Kluyveromyces lactis: one gene and its partner. The protein of the gene in region 1 purifies or fractionates together with the protein of each later gene. This does not show direct contact. Links are inferred from orthologs where the notes say so. Each region holds a gene or a part of one and is shown on either strand. Other genes may lie near its edges.

What was found.
Region 2: the proteins of RET1 (region 1) and BUD27 purify together in Saccharomyces cerevisiae (affinity purification with mass spectrometry; 3 studies listed by BioGRID). This does not show direct contact. The link is inferred for Kluyveromyces lactis from reciprocal best matches to the Saccharomyces cerevisiae genes RET1 and BUD27.

What each region holds. Positions count from the first base shown.
Region 1 is NC_006042.1:97,066-101,338, forward strand, and holds the start of RET1 (DNA-directed RNA polymerase III core subunit RET1), read left to right. Parts: upstream 1-1,265; coding exon 1,266-4,273. Other genes in the region: TFIIH/NER complex subunit TFB2, read right to left, coding at 1-591. UniProt on the Saccharomyces cerevisiae protein: DNA-dependent RNA polymerase catalyzes the transcription of DNA into RNA using the four ribonucleoside triphosphates as substrates. Second largest core component of RNA polymerase III which synthesizes small RNAs, such as 5S rRNA and tRNAs.
Region 2 is NC_006042.1:2,340,255-2,344,322, forward strand, and holds BUD27 (prefoldin-like protein), read left to right. Parts: upstream 1-1,131; coding exon 1,132-3,360; downstream 3,361-4,068. Other genes in the region: EPL1 (Epl1p), read right to left, coding at 1-377. UniProt on the Saccharomyces cerevisiae protein: Involved in gene expression controlled by TOR kinase and nutrient signaling. May also be involved in positioning the proximal bud pole signal.

The sequences.
Region 1 (4,273 bases):
GACATCTTGCAAGAGAAATTGGAAACCTTGGTTAGTAATTTTGAGTTCGCCATATTCTGCCTCTTCCATTAGACCACTATGCTGCAATAAGTCTAGAACCTTTCCACCAGGAGTGTTTGTATTCGGTGTTCCCACCATGTAATGCAAGATTGTTTCCCACTTTTCTGCACTATACTGGTCCAAAGTAGCTGTAGATACGGGATTGGTATCATCATCCGCAACATCACCAAAAGAGTTATTGATTTCACCACCAGTTAATACATTTTTGAAAGATTTCTTGAAAATTGGATTCAAACGAATCAATAGAGGTTGTTTACTCTCACCTTCTATTATAAGATTCAAGGATTTCATCGATTTAATAGAGTATTGTAACTGGTATTTCGCATCTGGCTTGACCCATTTATCTAAATCTCTAAGCGAGACATCGTGGTCCTGAAACAGCATCGACATAATGAAGAATTTTGCCATGGGAGAAAGCAATCTATAAATTGCCAAACATGTCGCTGGAGACTCATATAATCTTGATTGGACTTGCTCTGGAAGACCTTCTAGGTAGTCATTAACGGTGGTCTTGAAAAGATTCAGACTCATAGTATTGAAAATATGCAGCTCAAGGCCTCTTGAAATAGCAAGAGATTAGAACCAAGTGAGGAGATCAACAATTTGGTCACGTCAATCGATAATGTTATTTCAGCCTAATACGATTTGCTGCATTCGAACGATGCAATGCATCCATGATATCCGATTTGGAAAAGCTCATCTGAATCAATAGTACTTAAGGTTGATACCATGTCAAATCCAGACATTCGCATATTGAAAGTAAAATATATGTCACGTGTATATATATCATGTAACACGAAGAAATGTATCTTGCACGTGACTGAAAATTTGTTGATGACAGAAGAAATTTCTTTTCACTCTGTCAGATCAATTTTGGAAAATGAAAAAGATCAAATCAAGCTCATCTCGAATTTGAAATAATCGAAATACGCCAATGATTAATGTAGATGAGCTCTGTCAATATTGATGGAAACAAAGAGAAGTGCATTTATTGGCAGTTAGTGACTGTACTGATTTGCTGACCTCAACAAAGATTTGATTAAGTGAAATTTACTGGTTGGCTCCTTCTTTTTTCACTTTCAGTAGAGTAGCTTTGTTTGGTCTTTTTGCCTCTTTTCTAGATATTTTGTTTGATTAACTGTTTGGAACACTAATTAAGTTTGGAAAGGGTAGCTTTCAAATATCCTGATTGAATATTCTCTAAAATGAACCACACTGACTCCCATAATCCTGATGGCTATGAAAAAGATGAAGCGTTCGATGCTCTTTTGAAACCCGTCTTCAAAGGTAAAAAGCTGACTGACGAGATCAACACTGCCGAAGATAAATGGAATCTTTTGCCTGCCTTTTTAAAGGTGAAAGGGTTAGTAAAGCAGCATTTGGACTCTTTTAATTACTTTGTGGATGTTGATTTGAAGAAGATCATCAAAGCTAATGAGGTTATATTATCTGATGTCGATCCAGAGTTTTACTTGAAGTACATTGACATTAGAGTAGGATACAAACATAACGGCAACAAAGCTATTATGACCCCACCACATGAATGTAGATTACGAGACATGACATACAGTACTCCTATCTTTGTTGATATTGAATACACCAGAGGAAGATCAATTGTGTTGCATAGAGATGTGGAGATCGGTAGAATGCCCATAATGTTGAGATCAAACAAATGTATATTAGATGGTGCAGCAGAAAATGATATGGCCAAATTAAATGAATGTCCCTTAGATCCAGGTGGATATTTCATTGTTAATGGTACTGAAAAAGTCATCTTAGTTCAAGAACAATTATCTAAGAATCGTATCATTGTGGAAGCAGATGAGAAGAAAAACATCGTACAAGCTTCTGTTACATCTTCCACCCACGAAAGAAAATCTAAGACTTACGTAGTCACCAAGAATGATAAAATATACTTAAAACATAACTCTATCGCAGAAGAGGTTCCAATTGTAGTTGTTTTGAAGGCTTGTGGTGTTGTATCTGATTTAGAAATCATGCAGTTAGTTTGTGGTAATGATAGCAGTTATCAAGATATCTTCGCGGTGAATCTCGAAGAAGCTGCCGAACTAAAAATATACACGCAACAACAAGCCTTAGAATTCATTGGTACTAAAGTTAAAACTGTCAGAAGACAGAAACTTTCCATCTTGCAAGAAGGTATCGAGGCCATCGCTACGACAGTCATTGCTCATCTGACAGTGGAAGCTTTAGACTTTAGAGAAAAAGCATTATACATTGCAATGATGACTCGTAGAGTCGTAATGGCTATAGATAACCCAAAGATGGTTGATGACAGAGATTATGTTGGTAACAAGCGTTTAGAATTGGCTGGTCAATTGATGTCATTGTTATTTGAAGATTTATTCAAAAAGTTCAATAATGATTTCAAGGCAAACATCGATAAAGTCTTAAAGAAACCAAATCGTGCTGAAATGTATGATGCCTTACTAACCATTAACGTACATTCCAACAACATTACTACAGGTATGAATCGTGCAATTTCAACTGGTAACTGGTCTTTGAAACGTTTCAAGATGGAAAGAGCAGGTGTTACACATGTCTTATCCAGACTTTCTTATATTTCAGCATTAGGTATGATGACAAGAATATCCTCTCAATTTGAGAAATCTAGAAAAGTTTCAGGTCCTAGAGCCCTACAACCTTCTCAATTTGGTATGTTATGTACCTCAGATACTCCAGAAGGTGAGGCCTGTGGTTTGGTTAAAAATTTGGCATTAATGACCCATATCACCACCGATGATGAAGAAGAGCCTATAAAGAGGATTTGTTACTTGTTGGGTGTGGAAGACATAAGTTTAATTGACAGTGCTTCAATTCATTTAAATTATGGTGTCTACTTAAACGGTACAATCATAGGGACAACTAGATTTCCTACAAAGTTTGTGTCTCAATTCAGATGTTTAAGAAGAACTGGTAGAGCGTCAGAGTTCATCTCTATATATACCAATACACATCAAAAAGCAGTTCATATTGCTACTGATGGAGGAAGAATCTGTAGGCCGTTGATAATTGTTTCGAACGGGCAGTCTTCTGTTACTGCAGACCATTTAAGATCTCTTCTGGCTGGAAAATTACAATTCGATGATTTCTTAAAACTGGGTTTAGTCGAGTATCTCGACGTTAATGAAGAAAACGACTCGTTCATTGCATTATATGAAAAAGATCTATCTGAGAATATTACGCATCTAGAAATTGAATCATTTACTGTCTTAGGTGCAGTTGCTGGTTTGATTCCATATCCTCACCATAATCAGTCTCCACGTAACACTTATCAATGTGCGATGGGTAAGCAGGCTATTGGTGCAATTGCATACAATCAATTCAAAAGAATTGACACCTTATTGTATCTAATGATATACCCTCAACAGCCTATGGTGAAAACCAAAACGATTGAATTGATCGATTACGATAAACTTCCGGCAGGTCAAAATGCTACGGTGGCAGTTATGTCCTACTCCGGTTATGATATCGAGGATGCGTTAGTTTTAAATAAAGCGTCCATTGACAGAGGTTTTGGACGTTGTGAAACTCGTCGTAAGAACACCACCGTGTTGAAGAGATATCCAAATCATACTCAGGATATTATTGGTGGTATGAGAGTTGATGAAAATGGTGAGCCTATATGGCAACACCAAGCATTAGGCCCTGATGGGCTAGGTGAAGTTGGAATGAAGGTTGAAAGTGGACAAATTTATGTCAATAAATCTGTTCCAACTAATGCGTCGGATAGCATTCTAACTCAAACACAAGCTCAGTACAAGGAGACTCCAGTGGTATATAGAGCTCCAGAACCTTCTCATATTGATCAAGTTATGATGTCAGTTTCTGATAATGACCAGGCTTTGATCAAAGTTCTATTGAGACAAAACAGAAGACCTGAATTGGGTGATAAATTCTCATCGAGACATGGTCAAAAGGGTGTCTGTGGTATCATCGTAAAACAAGAAGATCTTCCTTTCAACGATCAAGGTGTAGTACCAGATATTATCATGAACCCACATGGTTTCCCATCTCGTATGACCGTTGGAAAAATGATTGAGTTGATATCAGGTAAAGCTGGTGTCTTGAATGGTACCCTTGAATACGGTACCTGTTTCGGTGGATCTAAGTTAGAAGACATGTCAAAGATTTTAGTCGATAATGGTTTCAACTATTCCGGTAAGGACATGCTTTATTCTGGTATTACTGG
Region 2 (4,068 bases), about 2.2 Mb from region 1:
TACAAAGTACCACAGCAATCTTCTAATTGTGCAGAAAACTGGATATAACTCGTAGGACATTTGAATTCACCTTGGTAAAATCTGTCAAACTCGTCCCAAGTTTTCGAGGCGTCTGGTGTTGGAATAAATAGATCCTTCTTGTTCTCTCGAAGCTGATTGGATTGAAGAATTTTGTATAAATGCTCTTCCTTTTCTTCATTCTTCTCCACACCAGTTTCAATCTCCATCAGCTCTCGCTGTTGATGCTGGGAACTGATGGCCGAAACATCTTCTTGTTCCAAATCCTTAATTTCATGGCTCTTATAGATCCGAAGTCGTTGCTTCACGCTGATCTTTCTGTGCCTGAACCTCGATGAATCCACTGCAGGAGCTGGCATACTGCAATGTGTCAATGCCCGTGTGTAGTTACCCTGATAGCTATGCGGCTGAAGCCAAAGAAGGATCTTTGAATTCCAGATTTCAATAGCGAGAAATATGAAAGGAAGGGTAACTACAATTATCCCTCTAAAAAATTGGTTCTTTTACGGGGGCCCAAATTTATTTTCTTCCTGTTTTCGGGGCCAAATTTTGCGAAAAACTTCACTGGCAAGCAATCGGGTGGCGGTGAAGGAGGCAGAAAACAAGGAGACCAAATCTAAAATAGGACTGAAGATAGCAGCTATTGGTACGGATTTTGCAGAACTGATGAAAGTCCTTAAGTATCACTACTGATGGTTGATTCTCAGTAGGTTTGAACGAGCCACCGGACTGTTCTGAAGCGCGTGGTTTTCCTTTTTATGTTGGTTGTTTGGGTGGAACGCAACAGTTTGTCCGGTGAATGGGGGTATTGGTTTTTTCTATATTGAAATCCGAACTTATGGAAAGAAAAAAAAATTTTTTACGTCTTCTACGGAAATATGAACGTCTCCCATAACCACCTTGGTAGACAATAGGAATTTCTGTTCACGTGACTTCCATTGGGTCAAGGTAAATGGTGATGCCAAAAATTGTATGAGCTTCTACCAAAAAGAAAAAAAAACGGAAATCAGTAACTTGACATCCGTAATGAAGTCATCTCATCGCTTGTTGAAAGAGTGAGTTATCTGAGGCAGGTAAAGAGGCTGAGAAAATCAGTCTTAGTCGTGAAACGCAATGGAAACAGCAGAAGGTGGGGCTTCTTTTGCCGAGTTAATGGATACTGTCAAAGGTACCATAGATAATTTGGTAAACAAAAGAACCTTCTTAAAGGAACAGCAGCCGTTGTATGAACAGATATTCGATAGGATAAGAGATGCTGACACGAGCGAAGATTCGGAAGAAGAATGGCAGTATGGTGAGGTAGTATTTCAGAATGGTAAGTTTTTCCAAAATATAGGTTACGATTACTATTTGGAGAAATCTAGGGAAGAATGCCTGGTTTTTATAAAGGTTCGATTGAACTTAATTGCCGAAGCCATTTCACAATTTGATGAGAAACTGAAAGAGGCACATGGCACATTGCGAAACATGGAGTTACTTCGAGACGGTGCAAAATCTTTGGGAGATACGAATGTTTCTAACAATGATGATGACCAGGAAGGTTTCTTTGAGATCAGAGAAGAATTAGACGAAGACGGAAATGTGATACATGCTTCAATGACGCCCGCCAATAAGGTGCATTCGGGCAAAGGTAATGAAGTCCATAGTGATGAACAACAATTGTCACTGAGTCAGGAACGTCAAAATTGTCTTTCACCAGAGACTGCCTTCAATATTCAGAATGATGATCGCTCTTCCGCTTCAGGAACTTCGGAAACTGGCAATAAGACAGGAGAAATCATGGAAGCAGACAAGAGTACCATGCAAATAGCAAAGGAAAACATGTACACATTCGATGATTTGGTAGATCAGTTAGATAAATTGGATAATTATGAAGATGGCGAAATCGACGTAAATGACGTAGAATACGATTTTGATGGGTATGATGAAGAAAGCGACGATAATGAGGAAGATGAAGATTATTCCGTCTCCATAGTTCCTGAAAGAGTTCAGCATTCCTTTATGGAACAAATACAGGCTTTGAGGGCCAACAAAAAACATGATCTCGTACATACAGAATATCGTAATCATTCCCCTGAGCAAGAAGCTAAGTCCATACTTAAGAAAGGCGGTTCGAAGAAGAAAAGTGTCAACTTTGCGCCAAAGCTAGACGTCTTTGAAGTGGAAAATGTGAAACAGGAAACCAAATCTAACACATTTAATTTCCCTAGAAACAGCTATATGGAGTCAGAAATCATCGCATCTGACGGAGAAGATGTTGAATTTGACCCCGATTTGTTCGCGCAGATGATCGGAGCCAAGGAAGCCGACGTATTGCATGAAAAGTACCAACCTGGTAGCATCAACGGCTTGAAGGAATCTGAAGAGCCAGCACTCGCCGCACCTCGAAAGAAGCGTATCTCAAGGTTTAAAAAGGAAAAAGCCGCCACGGAAAAACGCGAGTTTAATACTAATGATGTTGAAATGTTTGAAAAGGAACCAATTGTAGAGGCTGTGGTAACCGACATAGTTGAGCGTGACGACACATCATCGATTTCAGTTGAAAATACTCCGATTAAAACTGGTTCGCCAAACTTTATTCATAAGAAGATGAAGTCCTTACAAAAACCAAAATCGCTGCCAACTAAGACACCATCAATAATTCCCACTGAAGAAATGAACAAAGATGACAGCGGTGCTGAGGGCGAACAAAACAACTCGTCAATTGCGGAAGTCATGAAGGAGAAGCAAGAACTAGTTGAGCCTCATTTCCCTGCGCAAAAGTCTAATGAAATTCATGTCCAGCCAAGAATCGACTTTGCACAATTGGACAACCTTGATGACATGGCAAGAGCATATCTCCTAGGATTATACGATGACGATGTAGAAGATCCTGGCACAGTATTGCAAGACACTTCTGACTTTGAGGCTTATAACAAGATGGTAGAAACTTTGAAGCCTGAATTAAATCAGTTCTTGAAGGAGAATGCAAGCTATGAATATGACATTGAACTGCCACAAAGTGCAGAATCATCACAGAATAACGAGAGCACTATTATTAACGAAATTAAAGAAAGGGATCCAACGGGCGCTGGAGAACAGCCAGTACAAGACGTTGAGGATCAAATCATATACGCAGAAGTTGAGCGAGAATATATGGAACATCGTCGTCGAAATATTGAAAGATTCGCGGTCGCATCCACCTCATCATCCTCAAACACCGAGCACACCATGGAACTTGAGTTAAATGAAGAGTTAGGTAAAGAACCGATTGATGAATTTGGTAACCCGGTCACGACCAGCCGCTTCAAAGCACAAACGCTTGCTTTGAAGAAACATCATCTATCTCAACAGCATCCATAATATCTGGTATGTAGATATTTCTGTAAAAACTTTGCACGTGATATGAGTTGATAGTTCTGGATTACTTTTAGAGAAGTTTACCACAATTGGTGCCTCTCAATGAAAAGGTGCTCGGACCTTCTTAACACATTTTTTGGGCGGAAAGAAGTTCCATTTTGAACATTTTTACACAGTTACATTGAAATAGCCAAAAAAAAAAAAAAAACGTGACACTCAGCAGCCCGTTCCTGATTCTTGGTTATCTACATTTTCTTCTGTAACTGAGGAATAAAAACCTTGTCTCGAACTACAGAAAATAACGCAGCGTGTTTAAGACAGGTCTGAAGTTTATTTTATACAGAAAATCGAAAAACTCCACAATCAGTCACATCACGTGATTATTCCTGTATATCAAAAACTGAACAGCTTTACAAAACGAAATCACTGTCATTGGTTCGTTTCCTAGCGGACAGTTGCTTGCTCCCTCTGGTACGCATACTAACAGTTTGATATCAGAGAGCTGTATTGGTATATCAACTCAAGTGTCAACTACATCAATCAGGTAATGATGTAACTGTGTCAGTTAAATCCCATCAGCCGCATGACATGAAAAAGCCATTTAGCGGTAGGTAAGCCATATCCTATGGACTGAATAGAAACCTCCCGTCATTACCAACCCGCTTGGAAAAGATTTGTAAAATGATTCCTACTCGTCTCATTTCAGGTGAT